Caenorhabditis elegans: one gene and its partners. The protein of the gene in region 3 purifies or fractionates together with the protein of the main gene of each other region. This does not show direct contact. Each region holds a gene or a part of one and is shown on either strand. Other genes may lie near its edges. The genes, in order: let-19, R04E5.9 and eat-3.

Region 1 (9,060 bases), 550 kb from region 3:
GAACTGATGGCGGCGTCGGGTAGATCTGATTGAGTCCTTGCGACTCGATGGATGGTGGACCCACCGATAGAGGTCCTCCTTTTGGCATTTCGTTGCTGGCAGGTGGCGATAACATTCCATCTGGACCAATATGCTCGCCGACTGTTCTGATATGTCCGATACTGGTCACTTCCATAGGCAATTCGTTATGATGATGTTCCATGTCAGCAAGATCCACAGATTCTCCCTCCAGATATTGCCCACAAGTTCCTTCTCCAAGTCCATGGCGTGGCTCGTCTATCTCAGAATCAGATTCTTCTTCCATCCCGCAGTGAATTGACGATTCATAGTCAGGGATAATATATCCACTTGGTATTGCTTTCTGAGCATTCAAAAGTAAACAAAATTTTGAAAAATAGCCACATACCTCCGAAAATCCAGCTTTCTCATTTTTCTTACAAAATGAGTTTACATCAAGTTTGTCTAAAACATTTTCCACTTCTTTCAGGTATTGTTGGAACTTTTTCTCGTCGACTTTCTTCTTTTTATATGATAATAGAACGAGTTTCTGCTGTTTTGTTCCTTTCGATTGTGAATCCTTTTTGGTCTGAAAATTTGCATTTATTTTTTTGAACTTTTTATATTTTCAAACAAAAAGAGATTACTCAGGCACTTATAATTTCGAAACCGACCGAAAAAGGTTTTTTCTAAGAATCATATATTCTAAATATTGTTTGAATATTCGATTTGAAACATTTTAGCTCTTCAACCATGAGAAACGAATATCTCGAAGAGCCCAAATTTTTCAAAAAAGTTTAACAATTTACCAAAACTGAAAATTTTCTAATACTATCTCAAAAACTTTTAAGGAATTTATTTGTATTATTTTGAATTATTATAAATGTATGAATTTCAGGAAATATCCCACAATGACGATACTCTACCTTTCAATTGAATATGATTGGAAACAAAATAAATTTTTCAGAAAAAACACTCACAGTTAGTTTTAATTTCCTGATGGCTCTTTTCAATGAACGTTTGACTATTTGTTTCTGCATATCAATATGATACTGCCCCGCCTTCTTTATCTGTTGTTTGCTAACTTTCCTTCTTGCTTTCTTCAACCATTTTGCTTTTCTCATCATTTCTTTTTCATCTTGATCCGCACAAATTTCATCATAACCTCTTAATCCTTTTCGACAAATGCTTCCTTTGAAAAACTTATTTCCTTTTGGTGTAGGAAGTATTGATTCATATTTTTGAATCTTCTTTGGCAAATCCTTCAAATGGTATTCTCGTGGTGAACCGGTCATTTGATTTGATGGATCAAATTGATAATGAGCGTGCTCGATTTTTTCTGCTCTCGACATTCCAGGCTTCCATCGATTGTATCTGAAATTGTAAAATTTGTGTCGAATTCTAGAAGTATTAGAAATTAATATAACATACTTGTCTTTGAATATCTGATTGAAACGCTCTTCAGACATATCATCATCTCCAGGCATTGACTCAAAGTCATTATTATCTACATTGTTGGTGAGATATGTAATTGGCAAAAACGATTTTGGCTTGTAGTTGTCATCATTTGGAACTTTGGGAATTTTGATGTCATTATGAAGTCTGAACAAAATATGTAATTGAAAAAAATAAACTTCTGGAAACTTACTCAAAATCCTTATCAACTTCAATTTCAGGGATTCCCTTTGGGTGCTCTCCCTCAAAATTAGCCCAATCATCCTGAGAAAGTTTGTCCATTCGAAATGAATCATCTTCGCTATCAGCTCGAGTTGATCCAGTTGGACGTTTTTTGTCACGCCTCTTCTTTTGTGCTCTTTCTCGACGAGCTCTCCTTCTTCGTTTGACCGCACCTAGAAAAACAAAAGAATATAAGTAAATATAAAATAGCAGTGCTTCAAAATTTTGAACCATTAAAAAGTTGCAATGGCTTAGGATTACTTAAAGTTTATGTTTTCAAAAAAAAAAAGTAAAAAAACAGAAAGCTCTCAAAAAGTTAGGATGGCCAAATCAGTGTTAAGTGTAATTTTGTGAAATCATTTGTTTAAAAAACTCACTCAGTTGTTTTGTCTGTTTCACACTGTCTCCAGCCTTTCTAGGTGTAATTGGCCCAATTGGATGCTTCTTGTGATAGGCATGAAAATCAAATTTCTTTTGAATTCGACTCCGAATTTTGTGCCATCTAATCGAATTTTCCGTATATGGACCATATTTTAGAAATCTATTGTGACGATCAACGTCTAGTATAACTTCTGAAAAAATATAAAAACTTTGAGATTCTTAAAAAAAAACATACGTCCATCGGATTCTCCTTGGTATTCAGCTTCAGCACAATGTCGACATGATACATCTCCTCTGCATCCATACTTTTTTGCAGTAAACTTCCAATTTAAGAATTTTTCTTTTAGTGGGGGCAAGAGCTGCCCACTAGTGGCACTTTTTTGTGGAACATTTTCTTTTGAAATTAACCGTTCATTTTCACAGTATTGGTAGACTGCCATTGTAGATAGAATTGGATTCGCAACGTTGACAACAAGTTTGTTACGTGGGCGACGATTTTGGGCTGGAATAAATTGCAGTTGAACTAGGAAAATTAAAAATAAATTATTTGGAAGTGCATACAACTAATAGTTGAAAAACCTATCATTTATTGAAATTTTCAATAATCAACATTTTCTTGGCAATTCGTAATGTTTTCAAAATTTTAAAAAATCGTGGTTTACTTACCTTGTAATTCAGGTGGTTGTTGATTTGTCTTCAGACCAATTGACTCAAGCATTTGCCGATCCTCATCAATTGTGACACAAAGGAATTTCGATGGGTATAATAATCGAACACCGTCAATATCAAGAAGAACCATTTTCGGCACATCATTATTCACACATTCTTCCTTCTCTCCAACATCTTCATCTGTCACTACATCCGAATCATAATCATCAGGATTTTTAACTTCTGTACGTTGCCTTTCAACCTCTTTTCGTCGTTCTTCTCTTAATTTCCTTCTTTGTTTCCTCACTTCTCTTGATTGTTCTCTTTTTTCTTTTTCTTCTGGTGTCTCTTCTTTTGATTTTTCTTGACGGTAATCAGGCTCGTACATCCATCGTAATCTCTGTGGAATATCGTCTTTTTTTGACTCATCAATTGCCTCAAAACTCTGTGATTGCTCTTCATCAGATGAATCTGCAAGTAACACTCGAGTTGTTTGTGGTGGAGCTGGTGGATCCGAATCTGGAGATTTTTGCCTTTCTTCTGACACATTTTCTGGTTCTTTTTCTTCCATTTGCAAATAATCTTTCCATTGATTCCATTCTTTTTCTGCTGATTCTTGAATTTTTGGGTCGGCAAGAAGAGCTATTTGGTCTTGAACAAGTTGACCGCGCATGGACCATGGACCTACTACAACCACAACACGTTTTGTTTTGCACTCCAAATGTCTGAAAATTAAATTTTAATTATTCAATAACTATGTTAAAAACTAAATTACCGTCTAGCCAAAGTTATCAAAGTTGGTTGCCTTTGTGCTTGAACAGAAGCACATATCGTGCTGGATCCATGAACAAAAAAGTTGAATCGAATTGCTGGAGAATGTGATGGATACGTAAAATGTAGATAATTTTCTCGTGCATCATATGGAACTGTAAACCATCTTCCAAATCGAACGAATCCGTCTTTTGTAAGATCTCTTTCCAAAACAACGTGCAAAGCTTTGAAGATAATTGTGCGTACTTCGTAGCTCACAATATTCATTTGATTTGCTGATGATAATTCATCGTCGTTATCTGAAAAATAAACAAGTTGAATGAATTAATAGAAAAAACAATAATTACCCAATCCTTCACAATTTTTCTGAAGCAATGCTGGCTCATCATCATACCAAAATACCCAGAGCTCTTTTGGAGCATCATTTGAAAAATTCGTCAGTTTTGGAGTTTCTTTGTTATCAGTTGGGGGTAATGGTTTACGTCTCCATGTGCAAAGAATTCCGTCCTAAAATTTGGATTTAATTAAATTTATGGCTTTCATAAAGTTCTTACCAATAAACATTTACTGTATGCTTTGAGTACAAAATCAGCAGTCAGTGCAACACCACGTGGAGCATTTGGTTTTGTGCGGTAACATTTCCATTTAATGCCTGGCAATTCAAGTAGTGCATAAACATTTGAGATACAGTCTTCTAAGCTGCCACCGTTGTTCCACTCTGGACGCTTCTGGAGCTTCATTTTGCGTGAGGCATCCTTGTCGCTATCCTACAAAATTTAGAAGGTGGATTAGTTTTTACTTTTAGTTAAACTTTCAAATCATAAAAATTTTTGGCAAATACCAAAAATGTATTTGGAGAATTATATTTCAAAAAAAAACAGCGCACCTTGGCGGAGGACATGTCCTCTGTGGAGTCACGGGCTGGTCCACTTCCAGCCAGTATCTTGGAAGCGTCCCTGTACAATTGTTGATTCTGTTGCGACGACACTTTAGCACAATGTTTCTGCAATCGGAACTAATTTGTCGAGCGATTTTGAACGGAGACGACAGGCGATAATAGACAGGCGGTAACAAATTAAACGGTTTTATCTCAATTCGAGTTAACAAAATGAAACAAGAATGGCCGAAATACATAGGAATCATAAAAACAATTGTGTTTTGTTGTCTACAATGCAATTGCCAAAACCAATCAATATTAATGTAGTGGTTAGAAACCTAGGTCCACATTTGGAAATATTCAAGTTGGTTTTGAAATGTTTAATAACATTATTAACGATTATTCTTTTGTGTAAAAAAAATTTGAAAAAAAGAAGTTAAACTTTGGAGTTGAAATTTGATACTGTCAATCGGCAAGTCACTCAGTATAGTTACACCTAAAACTTTTGAAAAATTGCAAGGACTTCGTTTTTTACAGAATTGATAACAATTTCAAGACATTTCACAAAAACTTTTGTAAACAAGATGTCCATATTATCAAACTTAGTTTACAATATAGATCAGAAAAAAAAAGAAAAGAGCATCTCAATTCATTTGGAAAAGTACCAATTAACTTACATAAACTTACATAAGTGAAAACGTTTAATCAACTTATTAGTATAAAAGATTTAGCTTTAAAAAATTCTAATTGAAACTACATTTAATAAAATAAGATATCATTGTAGGTATGCAGGTATTATATGTTCCCTAAATGAAAATAAACTGTCCCATGTAATCTTTGAATAGGATTGCGTACTGTGCAACACACTTGACGCGCATTTTTTGGAAGAGGGGTATTAAAGAAACGTTTTATGTTTTCCCCAGAAAAACTTCAGTGACAATCAATAAACTTTTAAAAATTACGAAAAAGACTGAAAACCGATCAACGAAAGACAGATAACACAGAGAAGAGGCAAGCCATGAGGACAACGTTATCTCTCAAATACGTAAACGAAAGATACACTCGCGCCTCACATTTGACAGATTACCTACACTTTTTTCTCTTTTTTTTGAAAAAAAAACAATCCGAAAAACTTTGAATTTAAAAGAAATAATAAGTGTCTTTCTAGGTGCTAATAAATATAAATTTCAAATTTTATGTTTGAAAAAAATTAACTATATCACGAAACGAAATAAAGAAGTTGTTACAAAATTCACCAATAAGTTCATTAAATCAAATATTTAAATTTAAAAAAATTAAAGATAATTTTTTAGTTGAAAATAAATTATTCGAAAAAACAGTAAAACTATGCTCATCAAATAGAGTCATTGGTCTCAATCTCTTGAACACCCAGACAGAGAAGAAAAAGGACGAAGAGACGACGGAAAGTGGCCCCCGTGTGTGTATGTCTTTTCCTTACTGCGTTTCCTTCTTTTCCCACTCCCTTCATCATGTCTCTCACCCCACCATTGCCCCGCCGCATTCGGAGGAGGCGGCGGCGCGGTCGTCACTCGATCAATCCCCTCTGCACACCTTTTCAAGAAATAAATGAAAAATTGAGAAAAACTAAATTAACAAAAAGTTTATAAGAAACAAAAAAGACCAGCATCACAAAACAATGACTTCAAAACAAATAAAAATAAGTTTCACTCTTTTTATTGAATTATCCTTGAAACATTTGACAAACGAAAATCAAGATTGAGAGATACATTGTGAAACAGATGGGATTGAAGAAACCTTTTGTTCATTCTCGATCAGATGAGCATCGTCTCAGCCATTTCTTTTCTGCAAAGAACCATGATCGATTTGACGGGTCCTCCATCCAATTGGGTCACCGAACCGTTCAGGGCCACTGTAGCACACTCGGTCTTCATGTTCACCTGTCCTACAAGACATATGCTCATTGGCAGAAAAAACAGTAGGTGCTCAACAACAGAAAGTGAAAAAACACACAACTATTCGAAAGTAATCACTTTCAAGCTTACTTCAGTTAAACATATGTTCACTTTATCATATACATACATTTTTTTGGTCAAAGCATCTTACATGGCTTATGATAGCAAAAGATTTTTACTTTTAACCAACGTAATTCTAGATTACTGTAATAGAAAAACAAAAATTTCCGCAGTGCTTTTATAGTTTACCTAGAAAAAATTTTCCATCGACTGGAACAATGGCAGGACAAATGTAGCTGAGATGAACTGGAACGTAGTCTTTGTCACGGTAGTCAATTGCCTGAAATTAGAAAGTTAGGAGAACAATCTGATTAATTAATTACTGTACTTGTGTGTAGGTCATCCATACATAATCATAACCAACTGTAGTAGGTGGCAAACTGATCAAAAGTTGGAGTGAGCCGACTGTTGCTCCCGTGAATTCTCGTTTAGCGCTGAAATAATTAAACATGCACGCATTCGAACAAATCAAAATAATCTTACTCTACAAAAGATGCTTCAATTCTTCCATTGCTTTGCCATGCCCTTCCCATAATTGGTTTCCCATGCCGATACCATAACGCAACAAATTGATCAATGCCTGCCGATGGGATGTTTTTTGGTATAGACATTACATTTCTGAAATTGGATACTCTTGAATGTAAACATCAGCAAATTGATGCAAAATTCTGTAGCTACTAAGATGAAAAAGAATTTCACAGAAATGCTCAGAGAAAGAAAACCTTTTGTACAAAATATAAAATTAAAAACCTAGAAAATGTTAATAAATAGGCAAATATAAAGCTACTCACTTATTGGATGGCCACGCACTTCCCCAATTGAAATCCTCCCAATCGTTGACGACTGTCAATAACTTTGAAGCACTTCCAGTGGAACCCTTTTCCTTTTCTTTTTCAGTCGCGTCTCTTGATCCAGCAATCTTACACAGAACCAAAAGATGTTCCAACTTTTTGGTGGTTTTCTGAACTAATAGATGAAATAAGCGTTTAAATAAAAAACCAACAATTTGCATTTCGTTATCAACAAAATGTGCGACAAGCTTCTCTGTGTTCACGCATCCTAATAGTCCATGCTCCGGCCAATACATTGATGCACTGTATTCACATCGAACCATTTCATATTTTCCTTCAATTGTCAAACTTTGTGCTTTTTTGAAGTTTACCCAATCATAATGAAATGATTTTGATTTTTCAATATGATCGAGAATAAGTAATTGAATGCTTCCTCCGACATCTGCTCCACTATATATCTTATCATCGAGAACAAACATGCACTGAAAAGTTGGATTAAATGGATATTTTTTATTATATAGTCTTAGAATTTCCTAGTTTATTTTTTAAAGGAAAATTTTCCCTAAAATATCAAGTGAGCCTAACATATCAATAGCAAATATGCAACAAACGATGAGTTGAAACTTGGCAAATCGATCCAGCTTTCCAGAGCACATATCTACCGTTGGTAAAATTCCCTGTAAAATTGGATTGATTGGCCAAGGAATCAAAACTTCGTGGTGGCTCTCCATATTTTTTTGTATTTTAATATTTTAATACCGCTTGTAAGTTACCTTTTATGCAGGCGAACTTGCATACTTGCAAGTTCAAATAATTGGAAGTCTATTTTTAATTTCTGAATAGTTATTTTTCCAGTTTACCTTCACCACTCCAGAATCGTTCCAAGCTCTGCCCATCACTGGTTTTCCGTGTTTATACCATAATGCGACGTACTTATTTGTCTCACCAGGAGCTTTTGCAACATTTGGTGGAAAAGGTGTGCCAACTTTTTGTAATGTCCAAATATCGTCTATGTTTCCCTGAATAAATCACTTGCAGAATGTTTGAATGCGTGCAATAGCCATCAAATAACTGAAAGCCACTCACCTTTTCCATTGTGAACCCTTTCCTATCCATTAAAAATTTAAAACTGATTTGATTTCACTGTTCCGACCATTTTTTTCTATCTGGTTCACGTAATAACGAGTTTTCTGCTGAACAAGTTTATTTAAATTTATTTAAAATATAGATAAAAATGGAAGGTCAGATTGGATATCTTCCACGCGACTCGGTGCATTCAAGATATAAGATGATAACGTAAACTGATGATTATCCCGGCAGTACCTCCTTCCTTTTCCTTTTTCGTACATTCCATCAGTTATATTATTGGTCTGTTGAGTCCAGCTATATAAGGATGAATATTGATGAAATTAGAAAGGTATGTTTGATCCATTTTTCTCAATATTATGATATAATTTTTGTACATCGAGCTCTTTATTTATACTAGTCCAACGTCAAACATTTGCATTTGTAATAAGAAACTGATGTTTGCCAAATTATCTGAAAAAAAAAATCAATTTGCTAATTTTGAATATTTTAAAAATACTTTTTTTCGGCCATACTTTAATTTTTCAAAAAGAGGGTAACAGCTGAAAATACATAAATACAAAGTCCTACCAGGCGGCCTATGCCAGCCTCTATTGCCAAAGTATACGTGATATCCGTGGAAGTTACAATCTAAACAAAAATTTGGTCAAAACTACGGAAATTATTAAAAAAAATTATAGAATTTGTTATCATACTATTAGAAAATTGTTAAATAATTTCAATTAATTAAAAACTGTTTGAACCAAAATATTTTGCTATCTTCAAAAGTGTTATCATCCTTATATTTTCCCCTGTTTTCATCGAAACCGTCGCTGATCAGTTGATCTCGTACACGAGT
Region 2 (10,664 bases), on a different chromosome or scaffold from region 3:
TCTCTCTGGTGGAGTTTTTGGTCCACGGCGAACATGATTTGGGCTGTACTCACTTGGAGATCCGTCTGGCTGAGCTTGGCCGCCCTGATAGGGCTCATACGTTTCGTCGTCGTCTTTACGATCAAATCCAACCTCCTCATAATGAACCAATGGAGGCTTCGATTCTAATTGTCGAGCTTGGTTTAAGAGATGCAGCTCGTATCCCCATTCTGTCAAAAGACCGTCGGCTCCGTATATGGCTGGAATCTCTCCTTCTCGCTGTCCAAATGTCCGTCCTTGTGCAGCGAACCCAGCCAAAAGTCTTCGATAGAACGCAGTTTGGTCTTCTCCCGGCTCAAACATTTGTGCAGCTTGGTTCGATGACCCCTCTCCGTAGTCAACATTGACCGATGGACTTAACGAAGCTTCTGGACGGAAAACTGGCGATGGTGGATTGCTTCGAACTTCATTATCAATGATCCAGTAACGAGGGGCTGGTGGCCGATCCATATTATGTGGGATGGAGAACTCTGAAATAAATAATTTCATAAAATGATATAAAGATAGAAGTTTTGATACATAGAAGATGAGTCTTTTTTTAAATAAAACTATTCTGGGTATCATACTTAACAAAATAAACAATTTTGCTGCTCAATTAGTCAGAGAAAATTGCAGCCTAGTCAAAGGAACATCAAGTTATTAACTCACGCTTTGTGCCGTTTGCATCTTCTCCATTCATGTAGAAACGGTATCCGGATAGCAGATGAGACCGAACTTCAAAATCATCAAATCGGAAGGTTTTTGCTGCATTTGCAACTACTCGCAAAACTTGCTTGTAATCTTCTCGTTCGAGATGCCTGCAAAATCCATATATCCTTTCTACTCCTTCATTGTAAAACCTACAGCTTTTTCAGCTCTGTGCTTGCAAGACGCTCGGCATATTTTCCGTACTCGCGACTTCCCCACTGAAAAATTGTAAGTTTGTAACTAGAATTCATAACCGTTTAACTTACGTCGTCGTTATTTCTTCCAGGTCCCTGACTTATGGAGCGGCGACCGTAAGGAGCCTGAAAAAATATTTTGTTAAACCAGTAAACTGGAAAAATTGTTTATATAATGTTCTCAAATTTCAGTTACGAAAACTCAATGATATCAAAAAGAGAACCTACCGGACGATGAACCATTGGACGACGTGCTCTCAATGCTCTCCGATCGTGACTGTTTAGACGTGGTGGTGGTGGTGGAATAGGCGACGGAGGAGTCCTCGGCGGATTCCGTGGCTCCGGAGACGGAGGAGTTCTCGGTGGTCTGCGTTGCGGTGATGGTGGAGTCATCGGTGGTCTCCGTGGTGGAGGGCTTCTTGGCGGGGGTGTCCGCGGAACTCTTGGTGGCGGTGGGGGTGGCGGCGACGATCCCCCAGCTCTTGATTTCCTGGGTGGTGGAGGAGGCGGTGGACTTGCTTCATGATCACCGTGTTGTGGTGCCGGCACTTGGTGGCCTTCCTGACCAGGAACAGGGTATCCAGGATATGCATAGGGGTGTGGATGCTGAAGATGATGTGGATGTGCAGGCGGCGGCTGGTGAGGATGTTGATATGGATATGGAGGCGGATAACCCCCGTACGTGTGAGCAATGGAAGCCGCATGAGCCATGTAGTTGTGATTATAATGCATGGCCTGGAAGTTTGATGGCGGTACCAAGTTAGCTATGTTTTCGGGGTAGGGATGATGATGATTCTCTGGATAATGATATTGATTGTTTCTTGGCGGGTTGAAATATCCACCGGACGATGAGCCCGGTCTGTCGTGTCCGTGCATTTTCACCTGAAATGAACTTTATTTATGATATGTACATATTTTAAAGCATTCAGAGAGTTTGAGAAAATTAAAAAAGGAGTATAAATGGTACACTCGAAAATTGAGCAAGAAATACATTCAGTATTTGGAACAATGAAGTATACACGTAGGTATCAGTAAGAGATGAGAAGAGTTGACGGGAGAGAAAGACAAATTTTGCTGTCGATAAAAAAGGCGGAGCAAAGCAATGCGTTGCCATGAGATACCCACTGTGAGCGCACGCATCGTGGCCATTGATCCGTGAAAAGGGAGAAGAACGAGAGTTCTGACCGAGTCACGCCGCGTGCAGCGACGACGAGCCCTTCTCATCTCTCTATTCATCTTACACACGGATCACGTTGGCCCCGCCGCACTCACCAGCTCACCAAAACCGGCAGTCTGAAAAGGAGCGAACAGAGAGGGGAGGCGCAGACAGGAAAATAAAAGAGTGTGCGTGTGAGCGGCGATCGAGTAGAGAAAATGAGTAGAAGAAAAACAAGATGGGCGCGAGTCGGTCGCATTAGAGGAGGGGGGGGGGGGGGCGACGGCGGCAACATCGACGGCACAGGGCCTCGTGTTGGCGCAGCACGGCGTCGAAGACGTGGTGTGCATTCAAGGAAATGAGCGTGGGCACAGGGTATATATGCTGTTTTTGTTTGTGTGTGTGTGTGTGTGTGTGTGCAATGAAAAAGACTATGCGTAGAGGGCGGACCAGTCGTGTTTCACGCCTCACATCATCTCGAAGTTACCTGAAAATCGAGGGAACATTCTAAAAATAGAAGGCTTAAGAAGCAAACCAAACACTGCGTCGTTCGTTTGGAAGGATTTTGTTTTTGGTGAACGACTTTCTTGCGGTATCAGTTGGAGCAAGAACTTTTTCCTGAGCGAAAAGGATTTGATCAAGAATGTTCGACGGCCTGAAAGGGGATTATTGTTATAATTTAGCATGATAAAAATTTGGCATCTCACGTAGGCTTTGCAGGCGCAGGAGGTGGAGTGGGAACTTTATCTGCACTTGGGACCTCATCGACCACAATGACATCATCGCTGAAATAATTAAATGTTATGACATGTTTGGGGTAAGCATGATTTTGGCTTTTAGAATAAAGATTCACAAAAAAATCGGTGCTTCCCTCGACAATTATTTTTCTGTAGCAAGTATTGTAATTGTGCTTTAATGATTAAAATTGTGTAGATAAGAGAAGACTGACGATACATAGCTCTCAAAAACGGTAAGACGTAAAAGCCGAAAATTCGTGAATTTCTTTTTCCATCAAAGAAAGGAACCCGGCCTTCATTCCGAGATGACAAACTTTTTGGTGGCAAAGGTTCTTTGGGGGCAAAGTATCCAAGGAGACAAAGGATCCAGTAGACAAACTGGGGTGTATCTTGGGGGGCATATCTTTGGTGACAACCTTTTTTTCAACTAGATTTTTATATGTATTTTTCAACTAATTTTTGTTCAAATTTTTCTGGAATAAGTTTTTTAATGCAATTTTCAATCGATTATCGGTTATAATTCCCTCACAATTGAATGTTTGAACGATGGTCTTTTGGGAAAAGCTGTAAAACGTCCAACTAACTTGGAATATCGTGAGGCTCTTCCTGATGGTCTGATCCTTCAGCTCCGAAGGATCACATGGGTACCTTCTGATGTTCTGATCCTTCAGATAAGAAGGATCGTAAGGGTACCTCCTGATGGTCAATTTTTTCAAATTTTTTTTCAAATTTTGTCAAAAATCCATATGATCCGTCGAAGCTGAAGGATCAGAACATCAGGCAGAGCCTCATGTTCTTTTGGAGCTGAAGGATCAGAACATCAGGAAGAGCCTCATGATCCTTTGGATCTGAAGGATCAGACCATCAGGAGGTACCCTTACGATCCTTCTTATCTGAAGGATCAGATCATCAGAAGGTACCCATGTGATCCTTCGGATCGGAAGGATCAGAACATCAGGAAGAGCCTCGTGATCCTTTGGAGCTGAAGTATCAGACCATCAGGAGGTACCCTTACGATCCTTCTTATCTGAAGGATCAGGCCATCAGGAAGAGCCTCACGATATTCCAAGTTAGTTGGACGTTTTACAGCTTTTCCCAAAAGACCATCGTTCATACATTCAATTGTGAGGGAATTATAACCGATAATCGATTGAAAATTGCATTAAAAAACTTATTCCAGAAAAATTTGAACAAAAATTAGTTGAAAAATACATATAAAAATCTAGTTGAAAAAAAGGTTGTCACCAAAGATATGCCCCCCAAGACACACCCCAGTTTGTCTACTGGATCCTTTGTCTCCTTGGATACTTTGCCCCCAAAGAACCTTTGCCACCAAAAAGTTTGTCATCTCGGAATGAAGGCCAAGGAACCCCGTATTCCCTGTTTTCTGATGCACTTTGTGAATACGATCTGATCATAACATTTTTTTGAAAAAAGTTGTTTAGTTAATTGAATTGGAACTTTATCAATCAGATTGAGCTTGACATTCAGACCAGGGAAGGACAGCTAATGTTTTGGCTTATTCCAAACATTGCATTTATCAGCAAGGTTTTCTGTTATTCTAATAAATTCTATATGAGAATTAAAGAAGAATTCTTGTGCAACATTCATCAAGTAACAACTTTTAAAAATTTACGTTTTTTTTTTCAAAATTCAGGATCTGATATTCAGACCTCGAATTTTCCTAAACCCGGAAGTGATGTAATATATAATTTCAGAGCGCTTGCCACGTCACATTGAATTATAGGCTCACGAAAAGAAAAACGTCACGAAATATCGGTGTTTGAGATTGATGGATACCATTCATCATTTGCGTGCTCCCAATTTTCTGTGCGCTAAAGCTCACGTCATTTCATTTCAGGCGATTGCCTACGAATGTTAAATAAATGGTTGTGTTCCAACTCTACTATCTTCATGAATTTGTAATGAGACAGGGACTGGAGTTGTGCTGCGAAAAACAATCGCCCGCTATAAACTGAAACTGCGTATAGGTGTAAACAATTTTTTATCATCGTTTGGCTATTAACAGTCCGCAAATATTAACAATTAATTTAAATAAGCTCAAAAAGAGAGAGAATAAAAGAGAGAGAAAATTTCTGGGTTTTTTCTCAACAAGCTCAAAGTAATACTACAAACTAAAATATTGAAACAGATATCTTGAACCGTTATTCCTTCTTTGAGCTTTTTTTTCTCAATAAACCTCAAAGAAGTTTTCTATTCGTCAGTTAAATATATTTTTCCAGGCCACCTTTTAATGTTGAAAAGGATGTATCTGCAGAAAACCTATAAGTTCGAGAGTTATGAAAAATGCAACATTGTTCACAGAAAGTCATCATACTCCGAATCACAGAAATAGAAAAATTAGTAGGCGATCAGAATATGTGAACGCTAAGCTATGATTTTATTAGTCATATTCAAAATTAAAAAATACTGCGTAATTTTAAGCTATATTTAAACTCTTGTGGCGCTTCTTCTGACAGCAGAATTTTAAATGCTTACAGATTAACATGATTATGTAGACATAAAAATTTCTGTAGTAATTTTATTTTCTGTATTTTGAGTGATTGTAAAAATTTGAAAACAAAAAATACATGTGACAGCAATCGAAAATAGATTCGTGCTGCTTTCCTTTTTCTCGTGAAATCAGCCGTCACGATGTAGTAATTTTTGAGTGAAACTTCGATGAAGAATATAATTGAAGTCAATTGCAGAATATATGTATGTTTCGTAGGATTTCAGTTTTCTTTTTGACAAAAAGTTAAATTGTGCAGGAAGTTGTATCTTTGCTGCATTGCTAAGCTAAACGTTTTTCTTTTGAATTGGAATTAACTTTCGATAAACAGTACGAGCCCCTCCACATATAATTTTTCGGAAAACTGTTTTCTTCGATACATTTCCAGTAGTTATGGAAAGGTTTCTGCTTCTCGTTTACCAGAAGATAAAATTAACTTCTGTTAAACAAGCATAGTTTTTTAGAAGCAGGACATTGGGTGATAGTAGAATGACGACCGATTCAGAAGTCGAAGTGTCGGTAAATTCAAGTTTCAACTAGATTGCGTCACTGTTCAAATAGTGCAATGCCTTGCACGGTATGAGCATCGCCAGAAAAATGCGACTGACTACCAGAACCACAGTGCAGCAAGCTTGAACATAATGTCTTTATGTATTAGCCCTCAACAATTTTTCGAGTAGGAAATGACCGAACTACAAGCGTGTTACTGCCCTTCGAAAAGCTGATATCTGATCACCGTACCCTAACGTTGGACGACACTGCTCATATGCGATTGGAAGAAAACCAGTGAAAAATTGATTCCGATATGATTTCGGGAGCATGCGACGCATTTGGCTTTGGAGTTCAATAATTCAAGTTTTTAATGTCACATTTCTATTATCTCTAGCATTACTGATTTTTTTTTTGAGAAACTACTTTATAAATTCTCAAAAACTTACTTTTGGCGAATATGAAGCTTTTGTTCCTTTTCTCGCCCGTATCGCTTGACTCTTCCAATACTTTCCCCTTTGTCTAACGATTTTGATGTGGTTTTCCGTCGTCGTTTAGTTCCTTTCCTTCGCTTTGTTGCTCCTGTCTTTGACTTTCGAGTCTTCCTTTTCGTTTTCCTGCCTTGTTTTCTCACGATCTTTGATTTTCTCTGCCGAGCAGCAATTCTGAATAAAAAAAAGTAAAAAAAGAGCTAACTTTCCTGGTGTTCTTACTTTGGAAGTTCTGGCAGATCTCCATCTGGTTCATCGTCGCCCAGCACATGCGCATCTTCCTCCTCGAAAATCGGTTCTTCTTTTTTGATGAACTCTCTGAAAGAAATAAGAAATGTTAATTTGAAAATTTAAACATTAGAGGAAAAACCTACTTCATACTCTCGGCGTCTCCACTACTCGAGCCAAAAATCGATGCAGGGTACGCACATACACACACGCACCGCAGGAACACAGAAAATAGTTGGAAGCGACCGCGTTGCGTCCCTCTCCCTGCGCGTCGCGTGTTCAGACACAACGAAGACACACTCTCTTTTTCACACACTCTCTCGCCAATGCCCTATAAACCCTCGCTTTCTGCCACACACTCACATTTACAAAAAAACAGAGAGGACGACGGGACGCGCGCGCACGTGAGATAAGGCGGACAGAAAAAGGAAAAATTGAGAATGGCGAGCTGGCGATGAAAGCAAGATGTTGACGTGAGGGTTGATGAATTTTTGATACGAAAACAATAATGATCGGGATGAAGTAGGGGACTGGCATTTTTTGTCCCGAGAAGATGTATTCTGGGCACTTTTCATTAAATTTTTCTTCCTTAAACGAACATGACAAACGAATATTGATGAGAAAACTTCTAGAGCATTATTTAAATTACTTTTTCAGCGTAAAAGAAAAAAATTGCAATTCCCGCGTTCATAGGACAACAAACCTTCAGCGTAGACACGTCTACTGCCCAAAAATGTCATCAAGAAAATAAGGGATATCAAAAATGATGATAGAACTGGAAGATCGAAATAGTCTAAAAAATGAAAGTTATTCGCTGTTCGTCATGCCAAATGAACATGAAATGTTGTGACAAAATTACAAAAAAATATAAGGCTGTATTTTTTTTAATATCCCGAAATTTTATTTCAGTGGAAGTTATTGGATTTGCTTTGAATAAGTAGTCACATCATTAATGAACGTTCAACTAAAATAAAAAAACACCAATACTCATAGATTATGCTTTAAAAAAAAGGAGAAACCAAAAAGTTACTTTCCTATCCCAAAACAAAAGATATCTCCTATGAACCGGCAAAAAGCATTACTGGAGAAAAAACGAATCATATTTTAAACAAAAATTTCTGACTGGATGCAAAATTGATAAAACACTTCGAAACCTGTCTTTAGCCTGTCACATGCAAATTTTGATTCTAGACACCCATAAACTGAAAGAGCCCCAAAACAAGCATTCATGTCACATAGACATGAACCACCTAGATTGTTATCAGTGCCCCCTACTGATACGCACTTTCTTCATTTTCACCACTCGTTTATTCATTATCGCCACCACACTATACCACGTCTAATTTGATGATCATTAAAGTTTTTCTACGTTTACTTTTGCTCTGTGCACACATTGTATGCATAGACGGAAAACTGGTGAGAAATTTCGTAAAGGAAAACAAAAAAACATTGATGGAAATTCAGGAAATACGGCCAGTGGTATCAGGAGTTCGGATTGAAAGCGATGTAGACGCGTCAGGATTTTTAGGATATGGGTAAGAAATGAGGAACCTTCTAATACACAGTACAACTTGCACTAAAGTAATTACAAGTATTTCATACGGAATGCCATCTTTTTTATTGATTGAAAGGACTACATTGTTCAATTAAATTCAATTGCATGTTTTGACATAAACGTGAAGCTTGTATATTGTCATAATGGCATTTCATCTGGGTGTTTACATTACTTTAGAATAAAGCTTCATTAGAGAAAATTAGATAATGCACTAAATACAATGGGATAAAAAATACCAGACGAGGGTGTACGACAAAATGTAACAAAATTTCAGCGATGCTGGAGAGTTATTGGTGGAGGCAAACACTGAAGTGGATCTTGTGATTTTTGGTCATGGACTAGAAAATGTATTTATCAGCCTATACCAACTTTTCCACATTCTGATTTCAGGTTGAAATGGTGACATTTACTGATTCTGTCTGCGTGACATCCGAGTTTAATGTATCAGAAAGCACCTTCTACATTCATAAAGATATGAAAATAGTCTTTAAATATGCTTTCGTAGCGTAAGGCAATTATTTTGAACTCGTTAATGCTAGTTGTAAATTACAGGTGGCCCCAGCCATGGAGAATTTGTCTAAAATCAGAGTGTCATGGACTAATACAAATCGATGACGATAGAACCTGGATTCAAGCTGTCCAGAGTACTCATGAAACTTTCATGCCTGTTTGGGCTCAGGTAAACAACCATGAGATGGTTATTAGCATTTTTCCTTAAAATGCCAAATTTCAATTATAGATCAGTGTTGCAAATGTTTTAACGTCTACAATGTTGGTATATAAATATATTGAACACAATTTAAATAAAAAACAAAGCAAATTATTTTTTTCCCGACGACTGGTACTTGTGTATTATACCCCCGCCATTAAAAAAATAATTTTTTAACTTATAAATTAAAAACCTGTGAAATTCTTTTGTATTTTTATGCTTAGGAAAACACCATTCCTAAGGTTTACGAAGAAAATGGGCATCACGTTTAATTTTTACGGATAAATTAATTGGAAATTTGATTAATTTTTAAAATGGCGGGGGTATAATACACAAGTACCCGACGACTTCTAAAAAATTGATAAAAACAGAGCTTTCAGTGCTTTTTGATTAGAAATCACTTTTACCAATATTTTTGAAAATGTTTTGGCCACCCCATAAGCCGTAGTCCACCTTCAAATGCTTTCGAATTAAAAAATTGTAAAACTCTTACCTTCGTTAAACTAAAATATTTCAGTGCGCAATTTTATGCCTACTGTTCTCCATATCAGCACTGTGTTCCGGATTGACATTGGGACTAATGGCTTTGACACCGCAAGAACTTAGTATCTTGATGAAATCAGGTACTGTTTTATTATTTATCAAAGACCAAATTTTATGTGAATTTGCAGGATCACAAAGAGAGAAAAAGCATGCGGCAGCAATTTACCCAATTAGATGTCATGGTAATCGGTTACTGTGCACTGTTATTATTATGAATGTTGTGAGTTTTGTTAGATTTAACGTCAACTTATTTTTTTTATTCAAAATTTAAGATTGTCAACACTGGAATTACACTTCTTTTCGATGATTTGGCAGAAGGTCTGATAGCTTTTGTAGCTTCCACAGTTGGCATTGTTGTTTTTGGAGAAATTCTACCGCAGAGCATATGTGTGAAGTTAGATTAATCCAACATCTTTTTAAACATGATTCCACTGATTTTAATAGTATAATTTATAAAAAAACATTTAAAGTTGTTCAATGTACCGGGAAAAGGTTTTCAAACTTATCCCTATATCGATTTTAATCAACTTACCTGCGGGAAACTAATTTTCATTCTATTCTGCAGATTTTGGTCGCCTCGCAAAGATTTGTTAAGTTTTGTACATTCCCAGCAGATAGAAAATTACTAGTTTTCCTAATTCAGTTACCTACCAATTTGAAAATTGTGCTAAAAAAATCTCAAATCTAAAATCCAAGAACCCTTACTGTCCCGTTTGATGGAAAATTTGCAAAATTTTAGGTATGGATTGGCAGTGGGTGCTAACACAATTTTCATCACCAAGTTCTTCATGTTTCTCTTATTCCCAATAACGTGGCCACTTGGAAAAGTAAAAATTCCAGAAACAAGAAACCAGAAACAATAAACCAAGTTTTTCGCAGATTCTCGACAAATATGCTGGTGTTGACATTGATGTAGTGAATAGATCGAGGATGGTAGAAATGCTCAAAATGAACATGGAAAATGATGCCTGTGATATTGTACGTTTTAAGATAACGGGATAATGCTTTAATTATTTTTTTAAGGATTTATCTACTCTGAAAATAGCGATTGGAGCAATGGAACTAACGAAAAAGTCTGTACGCGACGTTATGACTGATATTGATGTTAGTTTGAATAATTCTCAAAAATTCTAGAAAAGTTTTCAGGACGTTTTTATGCTGTCTGAAGATCAAGTTCTTAACGCTGAAACGATGACAAAAATTTCTGATTCCGGGTACACCAGAATTCCAGTTTTTGAGGGAAACAACAGGAATAAGGTTGCAGTTACTCAAATGTAGTTAACTAAAATTTTTAATGCTTCTAGGTGAAAAACTTATTGTACGT
Region 3 (11,460 bases):
GCATTCGGTCATTTTGAGTTTTTATTCGTTGTTTTAGATACTTTTTCGGTCGATGGTATTTACATAAAATTAAAAAAATTAGATTAAATACAGTTCCAGACACCAATAAGCTTGCAAAATTTCAGTTTTTTCAAAAAATTAGGCTCTTTTTTCTGTAATTATAAATATTTTTACCTGAATCGATCCTTTCTCATAGTATCCCATAAGTGTTCCCATGCACTTTTCCTGTCCTGTATTTTTCGCAGAACTCTTGGTACGTCTCATATGAGTGTCGACAACATTCATGTAGACTCCCGGGTGGACATTGACAGTTAAATTCGAAGCCATATTGACTTTTTTCTGAACCCTGTAATTGAAAAAAAAACTAAATTAAAGAAATAATCTGAATCAAAATAGTAAATTCAGCTGAAAACTGAAAAATGGTTTTGAAAAAATCAATAAAAAATATAAAGTTCTTAATAAATATTTTAAATTATTTATTTATTTACAATTAAAAGAAAAATTGTGTTTTTCAACGAAAAAAAAGAGAAAATAAAATAAATGTTCTGTGAATCAGAGAAAGAGATATAATTCCACTTATACATATATACTTTATCCTGGGAACGAGAGGGGGCATCAAGAGAGAGAGGGCATAGACTTAGTCTACCGAAAGTTTATAGTTTTATCACAACTTTTACTTATATTCACATGAGATTTTTAGAGAGACGTGCAAAAATTAAAAAAAAAAACAAAAAATAAATGGTGGAATTTTAGATAGTTTTTGTGTGCAACTAGACTTCTGAGCTTATTTGGAATCATTTTTCGATGCGGAAAAAAATTATGGGTAAATTGGCTTTGTTTTCTACGTGTTTCCCCATAATTTTGAACTAAACACTTTCTCTAATGTCATTTTTTGTTGTTAAATTTACAAGTTAATTTCTTCGCCTCAATCCATCGGCTGTTTCTCCTGAACCATAAGCTGGTGGTGCTTCAAATTGTCCAGCAACATGAAGTTCTTCAGTTGGATGTGGGCCGCGTTCTGGTCCGATTCCTGGATATGGTGGTGGTGCTGAGCTCATGAAAACTCGTGATGGGTTCGGCTGATCTGGGAACGAATCGGTGGTTGGATTGAAACCATTTGGTCCTGAAAATGTGAAATCTATTATTAATCGGATTAACCGGGGAATAATTTTAAAATAAAAAAAAAGTTAAATGCGGTTTAATATTATTTTTCTAACGAATTTGATAAGAAAACCATTAAATCCAAAGAAAGATGGTAAAATCAATTCAAAAATCAACAAAATTGTGAAACAAAAATGCAACGAGGTGGAAGAAAGTTGCATTAGAGCACGTTTTCATTTTTGCAAAACTGTCTGACCAGAACTGAAGATTTTTGGTATTTTTAGCAAAAAATCTCTCTTAAACAAAAAGTGATCGAAAAAAAAAAGAAAAAACTCGTTTTTTTAAAAATTAATCTTTAAAAAATTTTAAAAAATGTTTCAAACTTGGATTCCTTTTTTTTTCGTTTTTCAAAAAAGTGAAAAATGTTCAAATTCATACAAATCTCTAATGATTACGCTTAACATTTTTTAGGTAATTTTAATTTCGAATTCAGGATTATTTTTAATGTTCAAAAAATCTTACCTTGATCCGGCGACGGCTGATAATAAGCTGGCGGTGCAGAGTAGAAATCTCCAATTGGTGGAGAATATGCAGGTGGAGCATTCTCTGGTCTCATTCGAACAGCTCTTTCGACTGCTTGCAATAGAGATTGCCCGAATTCAATACATCCCCCTCTGTTGAATGTCATTCTCCATTTAACCTCTCCGCGCATTTGTCCTCCTTGAACAGCCGAGGCGATTCCACATAGGTAGTTGGCTCCGAAAATCGGCTGGTTTAAGTTAACATCTTGCATACTGTTGAATGGAATTTCAAATGATTTCAGCCAATCTCCAGGGTCTGGCATGAAAATGATTCTGTGTGATGTGAGGTAGATGGTTCCCGTTCGACGTCCTTCCAAATTCTATAAATTCGAAAATATGATTATAATTTTCAGCATTTGTGCTAATGAAGATTTTTGGTGTTTAAAAGATATGAAAAAAATACTGCAATAAATTACCTCATTTTCACTGGTTCCTAGTGTCATTACTACTCCTTGTGCAAAAATCACGATGGTTTCTCCATTATACAGTAGGACACCAAGTCCGTCCGGCGTGTTCGCCGTGTTGATGGACATCTAAATATAAATTAAACAAGTGGTAGCAGGATAAAAAAAGGTACCCAGAAGCGGATTTTCTATCGAAAAACCGAAGCATAATACGAAAAAAAAACAAATGAAAATGTTAGTTTAGGGAAAAATCTTCGTTTAAATTTTAAAAAATTATAAAATTGGGGAAAAAGCACAATAATTAGAGACCTAGATCATATTTACAACAAAAAAACCGGTTCAAAGTTGAGATAACCTATCAAAAATTGAGGGCAGGCAAAAGACTAGCTATACATTTTCGTGTCAATGAAAGGATGGAAAAATAAAATAAAATGGCAAAAAAGCACCAAAAAGCCGTGATGAAAACTTACAAAAACAAGTGACAAAATTACATGTTTTAGAGAACCTATTTTCGAGTCTATGTGATAATAGAACTAGAAACAAACAAACAAACAAACAATTGCACACACCTAGAATCTAAGAAAATCGTTTTAGCTGATCAAACATCGAGGAGATTTCAGATTTTTTCACGTTGTAATTGAGCCATGAACTCTTCGAGTTTCTCTTGGATTCGGCGAACTTGTTCTGAAATGGAGAATGTATAATTTTGTTTTGAATGAAACTTCGCAACATTTTGAAATTGAAAATGGAATCTCAATTATAAAAATTTACATTACATTTGGAATTTAAAGAATTTTAAAAGTATAACTTTGCATGAGAAATCCAGGTTTTCATTAATAAAAATTTGAAGATCAGAAAAAAACATACGAATTTCTTCTGCAAGATCGACACGTCTTCCCGTCAAATATTTCTTTTTAATATCTGGCTCTTGTGACCAATCATCCAACACCTCCTTAATCTCTTTTTCCAGCCTTCTGTGTTCAGTATTTGTGATTTGTTGCCGCAGTGCGTTACACGTCAAGTTGACCATCTTTTGGATTCTGTAGAAAAGTACGATGGTTTGGCAATCGATATCTTGTCCTTCAATCATTCCTTGACGATACATCTGATACATCGATAGACAGTCCTTGCTGCTCTGCAGAAAATATTTTATAAAAATTTAATTTCAAATGTTTCAGTCACACTTACATTAATTATCCTCTCCAAAAAGTGCTTCTTAAATACTAATTTCCATTGTTTTCTAATCGATTCAGTGGGAACTTCAAGTACGCCTTTCGTCTCAATATTTCTTCTGATTACAGTAATATCATCATCAGTCAACGCCTGTTTGTGCTCTGGATCTGCTCCTAAAATTGAGTAAAGCTCGTCCTGAATGACACATGAATAATGATTATCAGCAGTTGGGGTCTTCCACATTAGCCATTTCGATGCCCAACCCGGTCCTCTGTCGTCAGTAAGCTGCTTCTTCACTGCTGCAAGACGTTCTGATGCAGCCTTGTGAAGGAAATTGCATGCAGCATCCCATGATCGTTTATCCTGAACAGCACGATCCTCCATTGCATTCAATTGAATTACTCGGAGATAATCCATCGCTTTGTCATCCCATCCGTGCGTCAGCATAGCTTCTTCGATTACTGCTTCCTGGAATTAAATTATTTAAATTTTAATCATTCAAAAAAAACTACCTTTAAAGCATCAAACACTGGATCATGATCTTTTTTCGTTCTGGCATCTTGATTAATTTGTCTAAAGAAAACTTCTTTCAAAGTATCCCATCCGGTTTCGATGCTCTTTTGAGCCAGTTGCTTATCAGCAAAGTGTTTCAACTTGATATCAACTGTTGTGTTGAAAGATCCGGAACTTGAAGAAGCATACGCAGGCATCAATATCTGATCAAAAACATGTGAAGATATTCCTGACCATAGTTTGTCTTGAAGTAGTTTCTCCCATTCTTCAACTCCGATTAACGATAAATTCACAATTTCATCCAGAATTTCTCCTCTTGCTTTGTCATATAACTCGTCACGATTTAGTTGTCGTATTCTCAAAAAGTGATTCTTCCATTCAGCTTCTAAATTAAATTTGGCTGCTCTAAACGCATCAGTTTGACTTTCAATAGAATCCCGAACCATTCTCCAAAAACAATCTGAAACTGCCAATGACATGTTTCGAGTTGTCATCTGCGATGGTTTCAGAACACCATCCCGTAGTAACTGGCTTGTTGAGAAGAAATTCTCCTCATACTTTCTAATTTCATCGATCGAATCCGAACTGTTTCCTCTTCCAGTCACAACTCCGAAATAGCCAAGAGCCTTCATTGGAAATAGCTTTCCTTCAAGGATTTTCTTGATTCTATCAGGATTGGCCAAGTTCTTCTCAGCCATATCGACTTTTGTAAGAACTAGAATCGTGCGTTTTCCTGATGGATCAATGCTACTGACCAGGTCAGTTACGTTGCTTCTTTCCGCGTCAACCGATCTAAAATTTGAAAACTTCAATGATTTTCAGAAAAAAGATGAATACTCACCCATCCTGAATGCATAAAATGATTGCATTTGGGTTTTCCATGTGTGCTTTACTCATTCGAATGATGTCATCTTTAGTTTCCCTTGCCATATCAGCAGTCACAGTTGAGATAACTCCTGGAAGATCTACCAGAACCATTCTTGGGAGATTCGGACCTTTCACAGTTAATGAAATAACTTCATTCGACACCGTTTTCCCATCTCTTACTGAATTCCTCATTCTCACTTCAGTTTCATTACGTAATTGCTGGAGATCCGTCTCTTTGGTAAGATCGAATTCGCGTGAGGAATCACGGAATTGTGCAACATGGTATGGACCTTCGGAGAGTGTTACCTTCACTGGAGCTCTTGTCATCATTTCTCCAGATCCTCTGGGAAAGATTCTGGCTTGTGCCACCATTTCTAAAACTGACGTTTTTCCTGCACTTTGATCACCAACTACTACAACACGCGGCAAATTGTCCGAGGTGTTGTATGACGAATCGTATTCGTTGAGCAAGTCCAAAACTTCGCTGTACATGTCGATTAAGGATCTCTGAAATAAATATTATATAACTTTGAAACAGCCTAGAAATTATATACCTTAAGCCGTTTCAACCTAATTGCTGCCTTATCATCCGATAACAATAATCTCTGTTTCAGAACTTTGTTCTCTTTTTCGAGGCGTTCCAGTTCTCGTTGATATTGACTCTGAGTCTTGAGCATTTCCTCTTGAAGCTTCTGTATCCGCTCTTCGGCAGAAACATTGTCTTTTTTCTCCTCGGGTTCATCTTTTTTGGAAGAGAATGCGGACATCAATGAGGCGAGAATGACGGGCTCTGAAAAAATAGAAATTTGATTTTTATAAAACCTGTAACTCACAGATTAAGCTAAAGCACTAGGCTTTAAAGATTATCGTTTAAATATAAATGAGAAACTAAAATCTAGGAATGGACAAGCAAGGAAATTTCCATCCAATAACCGACGTATAAAGTGAAAAGTCTGGATTATATTTCCAAAGATCATGAAAATCCGCTTAAAGAGTGTGTCGTCTTTATTTTCACTTTTAGAAACGCATTCTGACGAGTATCAGGTTTATTTTGAGTAAGAAATCGTCAATTTACATCATAAAATGATTATTTTCGGATGATATCGTATATCAATGACGAAATTGTGAGGAAAACCGTTTTTATTTTTGGAGAAACAATGTATTTACCTTTTACTGGAACATTTCCTTCTCCTCCTCCGCCGCCTCCTGAATTTCCATTTTGATCCTCTTTCTGTTGTTTAAATTGCTCAAACTTGGCCATCCATTCTGCCCATTTATTTTGTCCATCTGCACCAAATCCATCTTTAATCCCTTTCATTTTTTGCGAAAACTCGTTCCAAGACCCATTTGAATCGAACCATTCCGGGAGGGATAAATCGGGCAAATTTGATTTCCATTCTTCATACCACTACAAAATATTTGATTATTCATGTAAAATTATCTTTTTTGGCGAATGTTTTTTGATCTACTGCTCACAAAAATCATATCAGTCGAGTAAACCTTTTAATTTAAGATTTTTGAACATTTTAGATAAGAGACTGACCGTTCTAGCCGCGACACTTCCACCAATAACCCCAGTTGCGATAAAATATCGAAGTTTGAGCAGATGTCGAGCTGCACTGGCAGCGATACCAATAAACGCCCTTTCGCTTTGTAAATTGATCACTGTTTGCCGTTTTTGGAGTCTGAAAATGTCAGTGATAAGCCGTATAAACAAGGTGAAGAGTGCTTAGACAAGGATTGAGTAAAAGTATATTCCAATGGGATTGAGAATAATAAAATTCCGAGTGAGCACATGGTCTTTGATGTCTATTTCTCTAATTCTCCAAAAAATTTCCCATTTTTTTATTTCTGTTCCAGAGGTTCAAAGTTCGGAATTTTGTTTTCTTCTTCGGTTTTTTCCCGTCAAAAATGAAATTTGAACATCAACGAATAGAAATATTCTTGGAAGATCTTGGAAGATTATATAACCTCATCTTCAGGATAGGTAATATTTAGGAAACAATATTGCCAAAAATGTGAAATATCCGAAAATTTTTCGTTAAAAAATCTTAAACAATTTTTCAAAAGTTCAAAATGAGTGGTAAAAGACAAAATGTCGTTTTTTTGTTCGCTTCAAAATGTGGTGTTTTCATATTGATAAACGTCATCAACCAAAGATGCAAAAAAAAGAGAAGAGACAGCAGTATTACAAAACACATTCCCCCTTTGCGCTATCTTCGTGGTTTTTGGTGTCTTATTACTCATCAAAGAGCGGACAGAGAGAGAGAGAGGAATAGAGAGAAAAGGAGAGAGACTCACAATCCTCCTTTTTTGCTGAAAAGTGCATTTGTGCCGAATTGCCTGTTCTGATGTTGATTTCCATTTGAATATGCGGCTAAAGTTGCAGAAGTGGAGGCGGATATCCGGGAAAACTTGTGCAAATTGTTCGATATGAATCGGCGTCTTGTGGCGATCCGCATCATTGTTTCATCACCTAAAAATTGTTTATTAGTGAAGAAAATATGATTATTATGACAAAAAAGGAGGCGAAAAATAAATAAAAATAGTATAGAAATGAGTTATCGGCTATATTCTCTAAATATCACAAGTTTTGCACAGAAAGCAATGGAAAAAAAATGAGATCGAAAGAGGAAATAAGAGAGAAAATTAATCCGATTTGAGCTTCTTCTTGAGCAAAATAGGAGCCAGCGACAAAATCGCCGAACCCGTAAGTAAAACGATAGAACTCCAACTCCATGCTACACTGGTATGGCTCAATTGTTCCAGTGTTGAGCCAGCTTGAATATACAGGAAACTTGGTGGAGCAACGCCTAGAAATGTTCCCCAGAAGAATGGAGCCAGTGGAACATCTAGAACAGGACTGGCAATGTTGATTAGCCAATTTGGAACAATTGGAGTTACTCGAAGGAAAATCATATAGTTCAGAAAGTCATCACGATGCTTGCTCAGATCATCCTGCCATTTTGCGATTCTTTCGGGAAACTTTTGCAAAACAAATGATCGTCCAAAAAGTTTAGAAATGGTGTAGCAGATGGCGGCTCCAGTTGCAGAGCAGGAGCACACCAACACAATTGCCACATAGAATGGAAACAGGTATCCTGATAGAATTGTTAGAAAAATAGATCCAGGGATAGCGAAGGACTGTAGAAATACGTAGACGACAATTACACCGCACAGAACTACTGAATAGTTGTTCTCCTTGTACTTCGAGAGAACTCTGCCCAGCTGCTTAGCGTCTTCCAGATTCCTGGGATATTTCAAATGAACCTTCTCATCTGCCGAGACTTCAGGAAAATTGCTGTATACAGCAAAAATTGAGACCGCAAAAGTGGCGAAAATGAGTAGAACAAGCCACGGATGTGAAGTTTGGGATGATTTTGTTTCCATAATATCTGAATGTTAAATTCTTTTGTGCACGGACATTACGGGTGAATTAGTGTAAAGACAACATTAAAACATAGAGATGGGAAATAAAAAGATAACATGATTAAAAACTATTTACGAAATACATCAAAACTCGATTTATCCTGTAACATACGTAAGAAGTATGTCAAATTTTAAGAAGATAATCGTAGATTTAGGATTTTTACTACAACAAAGCCTCTTAACCGAAAATTGTTCACAAAGTGTGTTTAATAAAAATCAAACAAATAATTCGAGTTTTTCCTGGATTCAATAGCGTTAGTGCTTCACATTTAATTTAATCAAACAAACTTATGCAAAACTATTTCGCAATATTACTATTCAGATTTCTTTAACTGTGAGAGTTAATCTATATATATATATATATATATATATATATAATATGTTCTTATATATGTTAACTTTTCCGAAATTCTAATTGTGTAATTGAAAAGTTTTGGAAAACAGGTGTTTTCGAGAAATTTTGCAGAAAGAAATGTTGCATCTTTACTTGAACTAGATTTTCTACTCTATTCTTAATTTATTTATATCAGTATATGTTTAAAATAACGTCAAAAGCGGAAACATGAAACAAATTGATTCAAAAGAGCTCTATAATCTTGCGAAGACAGCGGAGGAGAGAAAACAGCGGTAGAGAAAGCAGAGAAAAACGAAAATCGATAATTTCGGATTCAAACTCGACGAGAATGCTTTAAAATTGAATTTATATAAAGAATACTCTCGAAAACCGTGAAAAAATTTAATAAAAATAATCATTAGTGTATATTATTTAGAAAACGGCTCTTCGGTGCGGGACCCGCCACCAAGAAAATTCTATGCGCCTTTAAAAAGTCAGCCGTTTTTATTTATTGATCATCTGATTTCTAAGATTTCTGCTGAAATTAAAAAGGTTTTCATTTAAAAAAGTAATATTTATTGATAATTGTTGCTCGGATAACTTTAAATTTATTTTCTTATAATAATTGCATCATTCTCTATTGGAAACGCTCAACAATATATCATTTTTTAGACAAAATGGAAACAAACTTCATTGGTGACGACTATGGACCGCTCTTTCACTACCAATATCGTCTTATCGTTATTGGGGATTCAACAGTTGGCAAATCTAGTCTTTTACGGTACTTCACAGAAGGAAAAATGGCCGAAATCAGCGACCCAACTGTCGGAGTAGACTTTTATGCAAGGATGATTGAGTTGAGGCCTGGATATCGTGTTAAATTGCAACTATGGGATACAGCAGGACAGGAAAAATTCAGGTATGTGGATTTTTTTAAAAAGAATATTAGCTGATTAAAAAAAATATTTTTAGATCAATTACAAAATCCTACTATCGGAATTCTGTTGGAGTCCTTGCAATCTACGACACAACGAATCGAGAAAGTTTTGAGCATGTTGAAAATTGGGTTAAAGAAGCAGCATTAAATTTGGGTGGTCCAAGCCCATCGAAGTGTGTCTTCCAATTAGTCGGAACAAAAAGTGATATGGATTCACAGCGACAGGTAATTTTTGAACAAAAGTTGTGTTTAAAAAATTGGTTAAAAGCTTTCAGGTAAACTATGAGGAAGGCGAGTACTTTGCCAAGTACCATAAAATGAAGTTTATCGAGACGTCGTCGAGAACAGGAGACAATGTTAATGAAGCTTTTCATATGATTGCACAAGAGGTTTTTTTGAAAATGTTTCAATTTTATGATGTAATTTTCAAATTTTTAGATTCAAAATCGAGTCGACGACGGAGAACTGCGGCCCGTGGATGGCTGGGAAGGCCTTAAAACTGGTATTATGAGGTCACAATCCGTGTGCCTATCCGAAAGAAGTTTCCCTCAAAACAGCAGCGCAGGAGCTTGCGGATGTTGATAATTTCTCCTCAATTTTTTAATTTTCCCCGTAGTCATAATTTCGCGTAGCGTTCTTATAAACATCAAAAACTCAGCTATTTTGTGTACTTCCTGTGAGCTTTCTCCTTCATCCAGTGTCACCAACCTCACCTACTCTCCCGGCATGCATTCTTTTGAAATAATTTCTAGTCGTTCTGTCCAAAAACTTCAAAAAAAAAGATTTTTTTTCAAACTTTGTTGTAAAAATACAATTTTACAGTCGAAAAACTAGGAAATTATCGGGATTAGAAGAAAAGTAAGAATCACAATCACTATTCAGGACAACCTGTCAGGGGTATCGGGAAATATTGGTAAGTTTTAGAAGGTCTTGATTTGACAACAATTGGTCTTGGGGAAGGATGGGCATTTTGAGAGTGAATATACAAAATAGAAAGGAGAGGAAATAAATTAGATGAAATACAAAGAATTATGAGAAATTCGAGAAGTAGAAGCAATTGTTTATTGTGATCCAGAAGGGGCAGAGCAAACACTTCGAACATCCCAAATCATAATCACACGATTCTGTCCACTGGTAACTAGAAGTCCGAGAGTTTCCTGGAGATGCATAGCAGTGATTCCAGTATGGATTTCATGTGGAATTGCAAGTGGAGTAAGGCTAAAATTGAAAATAAGTTTCATCAGTCATTTGCTTTACAACTTACTTGAAATTCTGTGGATTATCTTTCATTCGTGCATTGCAGTCATTACAAATGCGAATTTTCGTCTCATATCCCATTGGTGGATAGGTGGTCCAGTTGTCACAGCAAGATCCACAGACTGCTGATCCACAGGTTCTGCAGTGATGTTGTCTCAATCCGACCACTTTCCTCTGCCACATTGCTTGAAGATTCCAGAAGAACGGTTGATTGCATTTCTGACAGCAATCCGAAGTTTTCCATTCAGGAGTCTCAACTCTCTTGCAATTCATGTCCCAGCACATGAGCTTTCCGTGTTCGTCAGCCGAGAACAGACGTTTGGCTGCTGGAGCTGCGCATAGTGTTGTCACTTTTCCATTGTGTCCGCTGAAAAAAACATTTTTTAATTTGGAAAAATCTATTTCAACTAAATATAATTCAACTTTTGCGCTCGAAAAACATCAACACTTTCGAAATATCACGTAAATTCCAGAAATATACACTCACTTAAGCTCATAAGCTTCTCCTCTTCCTCCTCCGATATCCCACATTATGATGAGATGATCACTGCTTCCAGAATACAAAACTTTCTTATTTCCGTCCCATGTGAGCGAGGTGATTGCATCTGAAAAATCATTGAACTAATTCAAACCACAATTACTAATTGTATTGATTGTGGGGAATTTCAGGAAATACTGGAATGTTATACTTAACAAATATTTTTCCTAGGCACGATAGCATTTAAAATTTCGAATTAATATTTTACTCAAAAAAAAAGAATACGATAAAAACTCACTCGTATGTGCACTAAGCTTGCTGACAAGATTTGGTTGATTATCGACAATACGAAGAACAGTGACATGCCCACCATGATCTCCAACGAA

Evidence for each region.
Region 1: the proteins of eat-3 (region 3) and let-19 fractionate together in Caenorhabditis elegans (co-fractionation; one large-scale study listed by BioGRID). This does not show direct contact.
Region 2: the proteins of eat-3 (region 3) and R04E5.9 fractionate together in Caenorhabditis elegans (co-fractionation; one large-scale study listed by BioGRID). This does not show direct contact.

Annotation. Positions count from the first base shown.
Region 1 is NC_003280.10:8,766,392-8,775,451, reverse strand, and holds the start of let-19 (Mediator of RNA polymerase II transcription subunit 13), read right to left. Parts: upstream 4,478-9,060; 5' UTR 4,376-4,477; coding exon 4,361-4,375; intron 4,242-4,360; coding exon 4,029-4,241; intron 3,982-4,028; coding exon 3,822-3,981; intron 3,774-3,821; coding exon 3,479-3,773; intron 3,429-3,478; coding exon 2,722-3,428; intron 2,558-2,721; coding exon 2,291-2,557; intron 2,247-2,290; coding exon 2,052-2,246; intron 1,848-2,051; coding exon 1,646-1,847; intron 1,600-1,645; coding exon 1,429-1,599; intron 1,372-1,428; coding exon 978-1,371; intron 587-977; coding exon 407-586; intron 362-406; coding exon 1-361. Other genes in the region: nsph-1.1 (Nematode Specific Peptide family), read right to left, coding at 6,145-6,275, 6,535-6,625, 6,674-6,779, 6,829-6,963, 7,137-7,306, 7,349-7,618, 7,748-7,813, 7,997-8,155 and 1 more.
Region 2 is NC_003284.9:8,804,310-8,814,973, forward strand, and holds R04E5.9 (uncharacterized protein), read right to left. Parts: upstream 6,834-10,664; 5' UTR 6,685-6,833; coding exon 6,680-6,684; intron 6,624-6,679; coding exon 6,528-6,623; intron 6,480-6,527; coding exon 6,264-6,479; intron 2,862-6,263; coding exon 2,784-2,861; intron 2,732-2,783; coding exon 2,612-2,731; intron 2,564-2,611; coding exon 2,560-2,563; 3' UTR 2,349-2,559; downstream 1-2,348. Other genes in the region: R04E5.8 (JmjC domain-containing protein), read right to left, coding at 1-509, 688-836, 883-944, 993-1,046, 1,149-1,796; Metal transporter cnnm-2, read left to right, coding at 7,881-7,949, 7,998-8,068, 8,363-8,435, 8,479-8,594, 8,641-8,767, 9,315-9,420, 9,469-9,560, 9,613-9,734 and 5 more.
Region 3 is NC_003280.10:9,320,529-9,331,988, reverse strand, and holds eat-3 (Dynamin-like GTPase OPA1, mitochondrial), read right to left. Parts: upstream 7,116-11,460; 5' UTR 7,102-7,115; coding exon 6,941-7,101; intron 6,325-6,940; coding exon 6,183-6,324; intron 6,048-6,182; coding exon 5,807-6,047; intron 5,430-5,806; coding exon 5,194-5,429; intron 5,147-5,193; coding exon 4,614-5,146; intron 4,565-4,613; coding exon 3,772-4,564; intron 3,728-3,771; coding exon 3,275-3,727; intron 3,222-3,274; coding exon 2,954-3,221; intron 2,771-2,953; coding exon 2,703-2,770; 3' UTR 2,324-2,702; downstream 1-2,323. Other genes in the region: eif-3.F (Eukaryotic translation initiation factor 3 subunit F), read right to left, coding at 175-327; wbp-2 (GRAM domain-containing protein), read right to left, coding at 912-1,123, 1,624-2,002, 2,099-2,215; egli-1 (Transmembrane protein 41 homolog), read right to left, coding at 7,289-8,029; Ras-related protein rab-39, read left to right, coding at 9,080-9,321, 9,375-9,564, 9,615-9,728, 9,778-9,921; wdfy-2 (WD repeat and FYVE domain-containing protein 2), read right to left, coding at 10,401-10,557, 10,604-10,963, 11,084-11,201, 11,373-11,460.